Linked DNA regions of Rattus norvegicus. The protein of the gene in region 1 binds, or shares a complex with, the protein of each later gene. Links are inferred from orthologs where the notes say so. Each region holds a gene or a part of one and is shown on either strand. Other genes may lie near its edges.

Region 1 (3,644 bases):
GAGAATCCCTTTTATCCATTTTTCCTCATAGCGCCTGTTAAAGAAAGGAAGGGAGAAAAGAGTACCATTTCCTTTCTGATAATCAGATGCTGGGCTACACTACCACATGTAGCTGAGTCTCTGCATGGTGAAAGGAGTCAATAGTTTTATTTTAATTAGTTAAACTGCATTGCTGTTTTAAAAATGAACCTTCACTTCAGTTATTGAAAACTTTCTTTTGGGATGGAGAGATGGCTCAGTGGTTAAGAGCACTGACTGTTCTTCCAGAGGTCCTGAGTTCAAATCCCAGCAACCACATGGTGGCTCACAACCATCTGTAATGATGTCCTCTTCTGAAGATAGCTACAGTGTATTTATATATAATAAATAAATAAATCTTTTAAAAAAGAGAAAACTTTATTTTGGGGTATGTGAAATTTTTCCAAATATTAACTTGATTTACTATAAATAAAAATGTTTCCTGTGAAAATTTAGTATTCTACTTAAGGTGTGTTATATATATATATACACATATATATATACATATATATATAATATACATAGGATTTTAATTTTTATTAAAATAACCGGGCAAGCAAATATGTACTATTATTGTACACTGGATCATATGTTAACTATTTTGGCATATTGGGCTAAAATAAATTTCACCTGTATTCATTTTTAAATGTGATATTTAAACCTAAACATGTGACTGCATTGCTGTTTTAATCTAGTGCTGCTATTCCAGGTTGGGAATTCTAATCACAATCGAGGGAATCTGGCACTTAGCTGGTGCGGCTGTTTTAGTCAACGATTTCAATTTTCTTTCTTTTCTTCCCCTCCTTCCCCTCTTCTTCCTCCTCTTCCTCCTCCTCCTCCTCCTTTTCCTCTTCCTCCTCCTCCTCCTCTTCCTCCTTCTCCTCTTCTTCCTCCTCTTCCTCTTCTTCTTCCTCCTCTTCCTCTTCCTCCCCCCTCCTCCTCTTCCTCTTCCTCCCCCTCCTCCTCTTCCTCTTCCTCCCCTCCTTCTCTTCCTCTTCCTCTCCTCCTCTTCCTCCTCTTCCTCCTCCTCCTCCTCCTTCTTCTGAGATGTTGAAAATAGGTCAACAATGGCTGTCTACTTTTTCAGGCTCTAGGAAGTCTGTAATTCAGACATCCTTTAATGTCTGTCTTTTATCCTTTGGAGATTCCCTATCATGTTGTTGGAGCTGAAGTCCGAGGTGGTTAGCTGTGCCTAGCCTAAGATGAAGAACACAGAGCTGCTCTGAATGAGGGAGTGGGTTTCATTTTGTAGGAGGGATTAAACTATATGGTGGGAAACCATTACCTTCTCTTTTATGCAACAGAAAAAGTGTGAGCGTTATTGGGCTGAGCCAGGAGAAACACAGCTGCAATTTGGCCCCTTTTCTATATCCTGTGTGAGTATGATGTGTTTCTATTATGGCTAAGCTTTTTAGAAAGCATGCCTTTGAAATTGCTAATAATTTAATTTTCTCCTTAGGAAACTGAGAAAAAGAAATCTGATTATAAAATCAGGACTCTGAAAGCCAAGTTCAATAGTGTAAGTATAGAGCAGGAATAATAAACCAAAGAGATGAGAGAGACGGGTAACTCTGTGTGTGTGTGTGTGTGTGTGAGAGAGAGAGAGAGAGAGAGAGAGAGAGAGAGAGCGACTCAGGCTAGGCATGGGGCCATGGGGGGCGCAGGGCCCTTGATGTCTTGAGTAGGTCTTCATACTCATAATAGACTCTGCCCCTAATCTGTTTCACACTGTGGCACATAAAAATTGATATTGGTAATATGAATAGAGGTTATATGAACAGTGGTTAGACTCTAAGGACCAACTTGATGCCTTAGACTCTCTCTACTCTGACTTGCAAAAAGGCAAGGGGATTCAATATATCAACATGTCTGAGACCTACTTGGGACACTCTAATTTGAGGGAGATTTGGTTGGCTATGGCCATGTCTATCTCCTTTTGTGTGGGTGGGGTTGTTAGGGATAAGAAAATGGAAAACATCCTCATATTTCATAAGGCTTGAGAGCTATATAGAGGACAGGAGAAAAAAATTAAAAAGGTTATAGGTAGTGCTTAGTCAGATTATTATTTTGGGAGAATGAGGTAGAATCCTAACCTCAAGTTCTTCTCTTATTCTCGTTAATTTTTTTAAAATAGGAAACTCGAATTGTTTACCAGTTTCATTATAAGAATTGGCCGGACCATGATGTGCCTTCCTCTATAGACCCTATCCTTCAGCTCATCTGGGATATGCGGTGTTACCAAGAAGACGACTGCGTTCCTCTATGCATTCATTGCAGGTAAGGTGCAGGGAATGAGCCTTTACCAAGAACAAAACAACCACCGCAACAGCAAAAACAGAAAACAGTAGAGGCTCTGGCTGAGAGGCAATTCAAAGAGAAAGTCAAGAGTTGAAACAATCTATTATAAATCCAACTGGTACATTAAATTAATACCTTTACATTGTTATTGTGTGTTTGTGTGCACATATGTGCACCCATGTGCATGCGTCACAGCTTACATGTGGGGATGTAAACAAACTTTGGGGAGGTTGTCTCCTTCCACATGTGGGTTCTGGAGCTTGAACTGGGATCTTCAGGTAAAGGCACCATGAGTTATTACTCGCTGAGACATTTGCTGGCCCGAAACTTTCTCTTAAGTTACTTATGAGCATTCGTTCTGGAAACTCTGCTGAGAGGCTGCCAATACCTGTCTAAGGTCCACCGTGGCATGACAGAACAGGTTCTAGGATGTGGTAGGATAGGAAGTTTCATTTTCTTTCTCTTCAAATCTGCTATGGGATTTCCAACCATTGTCCGTTATCTCTGTCAGCAAATACACATGCTGTGATCTCCCATTTCAGTGCCGGCTGCGGAAGGACGGGGGTCATTTGTGCTGTTGATTATACATGGATGTTGCTGAAAGATGGGGTGAGTTTCCCAGCAAGCACTTCCTATTTTCTTACTGCCTGTATCAGGGTTGCAGAATTCCACTTTTCGGAACATCTTCACAACTCATTTTCTCTTATGAAGTGAGTCACTTGTAAATCTACCCTGTCATATAATTGGGTTAGTTCCTCACTTGTTCTTAAAGTGTGGTCCCCGGGAGAGCAGGAGAAAGGGGACAGAGCAGGAGCAAAAAAGCAAGAGAGAGAGGAGTTTTTATGTCTATTAGGAAATGAGAAATTTAAAATATGGGCTTTTAATTTTCTAAATTATTTTATTTTATAAAACCTCAGATAACATCTATTAAGCCTGGTCCGACATTTGATCACCCCATGTAAAATCGTTCTGAATTACACCAATCAGCCTTTTCTAAGACAACACCAGCTTCTAAATCAGTGGTTCTCAACCTGTGGGACCTGTCTGGGGGTCCAGTGACCCTTACATGGGGGTCATCTAAAACCACAAGAAAGCCCAAATATTACAATGCTAACCACAAAATTACAGTTTTGAAGTAGCAATGAAAATTATTTTATGGTTGGAGTCACTACAACATGAGGAACTGTATTAAAGGGTCACAGCATTAGGAAGGTTGAGAACCACTGCTCTAAATCACGGTGAAAATTATAAGTAACTGTATTCATCTTCAAAATGCATTCTTGGGGCCAGAGATTAAGAGGTTAAGATCACTTGCTGCCCTTGCAGAC
Region 2 (3,644 bases), on another chromosome or scaffold:
ACTTCTGACTGAATGCTTCTTTTCTACCAAAGTCTATCAGAGGTGGTTGGTGTGAGGGGGAAGGAGGAGGGGAATAGGAGTGGGCAGGGATGGGAGGCAAGACAGGCAGCTCTGAGGGACTAGACACTTCCTTAGAACAGCTGGGTCACTTGTGACTATGGCTCATTCTGTCTGATGCCACAGCGGCACACAGGCTGGACGAGAGTCTCTGGCTTACGGCAGGTGCCGTGGGGACTCTAGCGCCTGAAGACCTGGGCCACAGAGGGCCTTTCTGCCTTTTCTGTTCTCCAGCATGGCAGGTGTAAGTCTGGTTTGCTTTTCCTTTTCTTCTCTGGGGTTCAGAGGACAAAATGATCCCTCGAGAGAGTCAGGACTGGGTGGGCATGGGGGCAGGAAACAGACTTTGGTAGCCTTCGCTGCAAGTTTTCCTAAGGGGCACAGCAGAGAAACAGGCCCCTGAGGAGGTCTAGCTTCTAGTTTGTAATATGGCCCCAGGGAAGCCCTTCCTTCCTTTGGGGCTCACTTTCTTTTTAAAATTTTATTTATTTGTTTTACATATATGATAGTAAATACACCACTGCTGTCTTTAGACACATCAGAAGAGGGCACTGGATCCATTACAGAGCCACTATGTAGTTGCTGGGAATTGAACTCAGGACCTCTGGAAGAGCGGCCAGTGCTCTTAATCACTGAGCCACCTCTCCAGCCCTGGGTCTCATTTTCTTAAGGGTTGAGGGACACTGGACAGATCCTTCACAGTCTGGGGTCTGTGGTTTTATGGCCTGAATGCTTACATCCAGTTCAGCGACCTCACGGGGAAAGGTGGGGTGGGGGGGTGGGGTCTGTGGCATCTGACTCATTTTTTCCATGCTGCTACAGGCCTTGACCTGGGAGTCCCCAGGGGAGGCAGAGGCCGAGAGTGAGAATCTGATCTTAGCTCACAAAGAAGTGGCTGCCCTTTAAAAGATTTTAAACTAAAGGAGTCTGGCTCAGGATGGTGCAGACTAGACTCAGCGTTGGGAGATACCTACCTCAAATGGGCCTGCAGCAAGTCGCAGGGCCAACTCTCTCAGGCTGGGGTCTCAGGCAGGCAGCTAAGGCCTAGATCTATGTGTCGGTGGCCTGTGTGCAGGAGTCCTGGCCCAGCTCTCTGCAAGGCTGCTCAAAGAAGGGGATGTGAGCTTAGGAGCTGAAATCTTCCAGAGGTTCAACATTTCCAAGTTGGCTGAGTGTGGAGACCATTTACGTAGGCCTCTGTACTCTTCCCAACATTTGATTGTCTGTAGACCTTAATGTAGCCAAGCGCCCCCTGCAGGAAGCTTCCTGGAGATGTAAGCCAGGATTTCGTGGATTGTAGGCAACCTTATCTCTAAGCCATACTTTCTGCCCCTTTCTTGATTTTTTTTTTTTTTTCTGGAGCTGGGGACCGAACCCAGGGCCTTGCGCTTCCTAGGCAAGCGCTCTACCACTGAGCTAAATCCCCAACCCCCCCCTTTCTTGATTTTAACTCCATCGTGCTTCCCACACTCTCATAGTTTGAGGGGAGCATGGGCAAGAGTCAGGTTAAGTGTGGATAAGCCCTGAGGGACTTGTTGACCTCTGACCAGGCTCTGTGGGTGGTTTCGGATATGCATTCAGGGAAGCTGGGGCTGGGGTTCCTTTCAATCACGGGGGCTTTGAGAGGATCCGAGAGAACAAAAAAGACAGATGAGGTAGGTGCCAGATCTCTCCTAACCACCCAAGGGTGGAGAGTCGATGAGGCCTCCAAAGGGAGACAGATGTCCCCCACTCTCTTCCAGGATTTGTGCCCCACTGCCTGGAGTCAGCCACACATTAGGGACCCAGGGGAGCTGCAGCAGGAGCTTCCATGGACTTCTTCCTCTGTCCTCTGGTTGCCCACACTTGTCTGCTCAGACGTGCTCAGAACCCACTAGTGGGGAACATGGATGTCAAGTTAGTCAGGGGTCACCTGGATTGTCTGAGCAAGGCCTAGGCACAGGCCAGCTGCTTCCCAGAATTCCCAGAGATGTCCTTTCACCCCCGGTTAAGAGATGACTCACAGCTTGGGGTGCTGCAGACTGTGAGCCAGGCAGCTGGTGTTCTGCAACCATCTGCTTGTCACTTTTACTTCCTGAACCCTCTTCCTCACTAGCTAATGACATAATATCACAAGGGCATTCCACGAGAGAGAACTGGGGGGCTGCGGCCATCATGGAGGCTCAGTGAGGTCCTTCTTGTCCATCCAGTGACTTGTGTCTTCGACTCCGGAGGGCTGATGCCAAGCTCAGCAGCCCCTGCCCAGACAGCGGTGGTTCTGGGTGAGGCTGGGCCCTGATCTATGCTCCACCTTGAACAGGGACATGGAGGACAGAGAGAGACTGTTCTCAGCAGGGCTCTCACGATGTCCTGTGTGTGTTTCAGTGCAGGGACTTCACGGCCCACACAGGGTATGAGGTACTCCTGCAGAGGCTGCTGGACGGCAGGAAGATGTGCAAGGATGTGGAGGAGCTGCTCAGACAGAGGTAAGCATGGCCGGGCTGGCGGTCAGGGCAGACGGGGCAGACTACGCTCCCTAGAGCCCAGCTGCCCTCGGGATGGGTCAAAAGCCAAGAGCCAAAGGTGAGGAGGTGGCTCAGTGGGTAAGTCACTTATTAAGCACACGTGGGGATCTGAGTTCAAGTCCCCTTCTGTAGGAAAAAGGGATCCAGTGTCAGGAGACTCCACTGAAGCTCATAGCCAAGAGACCCTGTCTCTGCAAAATATAGTGTAGTCATGTACGAAATTTTAGAGGGGAAGGGGCAGAAAAGTTGACCTTTGACCCCCACGGGTGCATTGTGTACTCATGCACACATGTGCACCTATGCACCTGCACTCATGCGCTCTCTCTCCTCTCTCTCTCTCTCTCTCTCTCTCTCTTTCTCTCTCTCTGTCTCTCTCTGTCTCTCTGTCTCTCTCTCTCTCTGTCTCTCTCTCTGTCTCTCTCTCTTTGTCTCTCTCTCTCTGTCTCTCTCTCTCTCTGTCTCTCTCTGTCTCTCTCTCTGTCTCTCTCTCTCTCTCTCTCTCTCTCTCTCACACACACACACACACACACACACACACACACACACACACACAAAGCCAGAGCCACTTGTCTTCCGTGGCCCTTAGGCAGATCCCCTGCCGCAGCCCTTAGGAGAGGCCCGTTTTCAATTGACATTTATCCCCAGAAATGGAGCTCAACTTTTTCAGGGAATGGTCTTGCCGGCAAAGTATGATGAGAGAACCTGGGTTCTGCACATATTTTGGGGCTACGGCCAGCCGACAGGGGTGAATGACAGCGCTTGCTCTGTCCTTTCAGGGCCCAGGCGGAGGAGAGGTACGGGAAGGAGCTGGTGCAGATTGCGCGCAAAGCTGGTGGCCAGACAGAGATGAAGTAAGTCCTGGCGGCTCCTGCCTTTCCTCTGAGAACCTTCTGGACTTTACTCAGGGCTTGGGACTTTCCGATGTGGCAGGCTGTGGGTTATGGAGTAGCTGTTATACGTCAGGGGAGCTCAAGAACTCAAACTGCTGGGTGATCGGCTCCTTTAACGCTTTGCCCCACACCCTCCCCACAGGCACTTCCTCCAGGAGGACCTCCTGGTTTGCCTCATGTCAAGAACTTGGTT
Region 3 (4,173 bases), on another chromosome or scaffold:
ACGACTGGCCAGGCCCGACAACTTCAAAGCTCAGCAGGGGCAGAGTGGAGGGGCTGTGGGACAGGCAGGTTGAGGCTGAGGAGCACCTACCTTGGCCATGTACTCTGTGACGATGTAGAGCCCACCCTTCTCCTCCACAATCACACCCAGTAGCTGGACTAGGTTGCTGTGCCGAAGCTGCCTGTGGCAGGACAGGGTGGTCAAGAGTTCAGCTTGCCCATCCCCCGCCACACTCCACCCAGGCGGCCTGCTCTTATGTCCAGCCCAACTCACGTCATGACAGAGGCTTCAGCCAGGAAGGCCTGGGCTGTAGCATCATTCTTAATGCACTTGACTGCAACTTTGTTGCCTCGGTAATCCCCCAGCATCACATCTGTGGGAGAAGCAGGGGTTGTTTCCTGGACTCTTGGGGCTCCCCCACCTCATCCCCCCACCCCCACTCCCTCAACTCACCTCCAAACTCCCCCTTTCCTATCGTCTGTAGCAGCTTCAGTTCCTTCATGTTCAGGGCCCAGCCACCTGGGGACAGGGACCAGGAGGGAGGCGGTGTGTCAGGGAAGTGAACAGCTAATCTGAAGCACTTGAGATGATAGGCACAGGCTAAACTGTTTTAGATGTGGGTGTCTGGGGTTTCCAAGCCTCTAGGGTAAGGGCAGAGGGCCCGGGTGAGGGGAAGTGGGCAAGTGGGAGATCGGAGACATTGTGCACTCACTGCGGTAGAATTCATCTTGGGCCGCCACTGTGCCCTCCATGACCTTTGGTTTGATGAGGCGAGTGCAGAGTCCGTCGGCATCTGTGGTGTAGTGCTGCAGAGGTGGGGCAGGCCCTCAGAACCAGACCTACTGGGCCCCATTTCTCATTGACCCACGCACTGTTCAGGTCTGACCACCAGAGGGCAGCAGAGGCCATTCCACACAACCTTGAGCTGCTTTGTGCGGAGAGGGTTCCTCATTTCGAGAAGGGTATAATGCCTGTCCATTTCCCACATCGCCCTATCCACACTCAGCTCCTGGACTCCCAACTGCCACTACTGCTTTGGGCCTCACCAATATCTCAAGGTAGATAGCAAAACCTGCCTGCTCCCTATACCAGCCTCTACCAGGTGTACTCAGGGCCAATGTAAGCCAGAGATGAGAACGAGCTTGGAGGGAACCTATAGGTATCTGATGCCAGATATGGCCTGGCCAGAGCTGGGTGGAGCTGCTGTTGGAAGCATCAAGGACCTGTGAGTCTCAAGGATCCTGACGGCAGTGTGCAACCCAGAGGCTCTGAGTGCTGGAAGAAGTGAGTTCCGGATCACACGAGTGCTTCCCCTGCACAGATGAGGGGACCTTCACTGATCTGAACCTTTGTGTCCTTATCTATAAAATGGGGATACCACCCTATTTGTGGGCCTTTGGGGACAGAACTGAGCTCTCTCACACAGGTGGTGCTCCACACATGTGAGGAACCTCAGACTCAAAGAAGCCATCAACATGTCCAGGTCACCCTGCCAGGTGAGCTGGGTCTGGGTTTGTCCTAAGTGTCCTCAGGTAGACTCAGGCGCGAGTGTACGAGAAGGGGGCTCACCCCGGGCAGGCATGTTCCCCACTCACCTCCACCAGCTGCATGAGGTTCTCGAAGTACACCTCCTCATCAATGCTCAGCTTGCTCGCGTGATACATGATGCGGTAGTGCTCCACCTTGCCTTCACAGCTCACACACAGTGTGTAGTCCCCAGGGTAGTTGGTGCTTTCCCGCACCAGGAACAGGCCTGTCTCTGGTGGGTAGAGAAGCCGCTCCGCCTGCTCCCGTGTGATCTTGCCGTGGAACCAGCTACGGGTGGCAAGGCTGGGCGTCACCAGGGTGCTGACCCGGAAGCTTCCGCCAGCCTCCTGCACACACCTTCCCAGAACTCCCAATCTAAGGGCGTCATCTTCTTCCTGTACCCCTTTTTTCCTTCTGCATCCATTAGCTCCAGCCTCTGGCCCCATCCCTAGAACGCCCTCACCTCACAGCCCTAACTCAGGGCTGTTTTGCTCTGATGCCTTTCCAGGAGGACCACTGCCATTTCCTCTTTCCCCCAAACCAGGAGACTGCAGCCCTCCGTCCTCTTGGTACTCACGGCATAAGGCTGAGCTTGGTGCCTGCCTTCACACCCTCACGCTTCTGGACATAGTTGGCTGGGATGATGCCCTCACGGCCCACTTTGTTTTTGGCTTTGTACCAGTTGGGGTCCTGGAGAGAGAACAACACAGACACACTCTGAGGCCTGCCTCCCTCGGCCAAGCAACCAAACCCAGAAGAAACCCCTGGAGGTGATGGGACAGGCATCGTAGGTCCCAAGTACCTTGGTGACAGCCACAATGGTGAGCACATCTCCTTTGCAGAAGGGAAGGTCTTGCTCGGCAGTGCCATGGAAGTTGTACTTGGCAATACATTCTGTACCGGATGGCCAGGAGGCCTAGAGGATAAGGGACAGGTGTCGGTGCAGCCTGGGGAGCTTCTCTACCAACCTGCCCGAATGCCCCTGAGACCAAAGCATCTTAGCTAACCTCCATGAACCTGGGGAGATAACTTCTCCAGAGAGTTCTCAGCCCTTCTAGCTCAAATTCCTCTGTAGCCCTCTCTGGGGCCCTGTGCCCGACAGAGCACACTGGAATTAGTGTTACTTCACACAAAGTCCTGACTGGGATGGAGGGTTGGGCATGGTTGGAACAAGCTGCTCTTAGTACCTATTCTTTGTCTGGCCTGGGGAGGGCAAGACATGGGACCACAGCCTCACGATACCTGTATAGCCGACATCTTCTGAGATCTGGCGTCCCCGTGCTACAGGAAGGCCGGTCTGTTACTTGGTACCATTAGAGCTGCGGGAAAAGAATCAAGTTGAAGATGAGATGACCCCCACCCTGACTGTGATCATCACTTCTTCCTTAAAGGAGTGCAAGCCGTGGTCCGTGACATGTGGGTCCTGGGCTGTTCTAACCAGCCTCAGGTAGACACACACAGACCTAAGAGTCCCAGAGGGGTGCCTACCAGTCCTTACAGGCCCCACAGAATGACCAAGAAGGCCAACGAGGCCGGGAAGACTAGAGGGGAGGAAGTCCAGGGAAACTCTGAAACCGGGCAGGTGCTATGTGGTCCAGGAAAGCTTGTCCTGAGGCCTCTATACAGACAAATGTCTGTGTTTCCTTCTCAGCACACACCCAACAGAAAAGAGCCCGTGTCTACCAGGAGGGGCAGGTGCTCTCCCTGGTGTGCTTTATAGTAACTGGCAGATCAGGAACTGCCCAAGTGCTGAAAATAAAGTAGACAAGGTAGGGAGAAGTCACACAAGGCAGGCAGGGCCCTTCTGTGATCACACGGTTAGATGGCAGGCCCACCTGAGATGGGACAGGTGAGGTCTAGCCTTTACTTTATAGCTATGTATACTACGAATGGAAGAGGACTTTCAGCGTGAGTGCTGTTATATATGAGCAAGTGCATGCACACCTGCACGCACACACATATGCAGGAAGCACAGAAGCTGAGCCCTTAAGACTTCAAAAGGTAGAGGATGGGAGCCAGGGATTGACCTTAGTGAATGGTGGTTCCCTGGAATGCTCAACAAGGCTCTAGGTTCAAACTCTAGTACAAGGTATGGATCTGTACGTTTTAAATCCATGAGCAATCAAGCAAATAAATATTTGTTAGAAAAGCAGAGGGAAGAGGGTGAGGCAGAGGGATGGCTAGTTGGAGGCCAGCCTAAGCTATATGGTTAAAAACTTGTTTTAAAAGAAAATGGCCAGAAAAAATGACATAGAGAAGCTTAGGATATTAGGATATTAGCTTCTATTAGATATTAGGATATTAGCTTCTATTAGATATTAGGATATTAGCTTCTATTAGATACATGCACACAAAACACCAACACACATAAAAATGAATGAATGAATGAATGAATGAAGGAAGGGAGGGAGGGAGGGAGGGAGGGAGGAAGGAAGGAAGGAAGGAAGGAAGGAAGGAAGGAAGGAAGGAAGGAAGGAAGAACTGGCCTGGGTAGAAGCTGATGAAGCAAGGCTGAATCAATCTGGGCCTCTGTGACCCTCGACTTGCTGAGCCTATCCCAAGCACCCTTGTCTGTCTGCCGTATGAGAAGGGCTCCAGTGGCCCTGGCATGAACACTGTAGGGTAGCAAGGAGCTTCCCTGTGAAG

Evidence for each region.
Region 2: the proteins of Ptpn22 (region 1) and Pstpip1 are in contact, whole or in part, in a crystal structure (PDB 7AAM), measured with the Homo sapiens proteins. The link is inferred for Rattus norvegicus from reciprocal best matches to the Homo sapiens genes PTPN22 and PSTPIP1. Residues at the interface, in NP_057051.4 of Homo sapiens: Ser793, Lys794, Pro795, Gly797, Pro798, Arg799, Asn800, Pro801, Pro802, Trp805, Asn806; in NP_003969.2 of Homo sapiens: Thr225, Arg228, Asn229, Trp232, Asn236, Ser239, Met240, Cys242, Val243, Asp246.
Region 3: the proteins of Ptpn22 (region 1) and Csk are in contact, whole or in part, in an NMR structure (PDB 1JEG), measured with the Mus musculus proteins. The link is inferred for Rattus norvegicus from reciprocal best matches to the Homo sapiens genes PTPN22 and CSK. Residues at the interface, in NP_033005.1 of Mus musculus: Pro614, Pro615, Leu616, Pro617, Glu618, Arg619, Thr620, Glu622, Ser623, Phe624, Ile625, Val626, Val627; in NP_001291690.1 of Mus musculus: Phe20, Thr23, Gln26, Ala40, Val41, Thr42, Lys43, Asp44, Asn46, Trp47, Ile59, Pro61, Asn63, Tyr64.

Annotation. Positions count from the first base shown.
Region 1 is NC_086020.1:194,072,125-194,075,768, forward strand, and holds part of Ptpn22 (tyrosine-protein phosphatase non-receptor type 22), read left to right. Parts: intron 1-1,322; coding exon 1,323-1,394; intron 1,395-1,477; coding exon 1,478-1,537; intron 1,538-2,152; coding exon 2,153-2,295; intron 2,296-2,858; coding exon 2,859-2,925; intron 2,926-3,644. UniProt on the Homo sapiens protein: Acts as a negative regulator of T-cell receptor (TCR) signaling by direct dephosphorylation of the Src family kinases LCK and FYN, ITAMs of the TCRz/CD3 complex, as well as ZAP70, VAV, VCP and other key signaling molecules.
Region 2 is NC_086026.1:65,419,570-65,423,213, forward strand, and holds part of Pstpip1 (proline-serine-threonine phosphatase-interacting protein 1), read left to right. Parts: intron 1-102; exon of another isoform or gene 103-292; coding exon of another isoform or gene 293-301; intron 302-2,421; coding exon 2,422-2,522; intron 2,523-3,337; coding exon 3,338-3,412; exon of another isoform or gene 3,413-3,644. UniProt on the Homo sapiens protein: Involved in regulation of the actin cytoskeleton. May regulate WAS actin-bundling activity. Bridges the interaction between ABL1 and PTPN18 leading to ABL1 dephosphorylation.
Region 3 is NC_086026.1:66,927,444-66,931,616, forward strand, and holds the start of Csk (tyrosine-protein kinase CSK), read right to left. Parts: upstream 2,832-4,173; 5' UTR 2,785-2,831; coding exon 2,770-2,784; intron 2,444-2,769; coding exon 2,330-2,443; intron 2,218-2,329; coding exon 2,105-2,217; intron 1,816-2,104; coding exon 1,596-1,815; intron 807-1,595; coding exon 713-806; intron 520-712; coding exon 454-519; intron 374-453; coding exon 274-373; intron 182-273; coding exon 91-181; intron 1-90. UniProt on the Homo sapiens protein: Non-receptor tyrosine-protein kinase that plays an important role in the regulation of cell growth, differentiation, migration and immune response.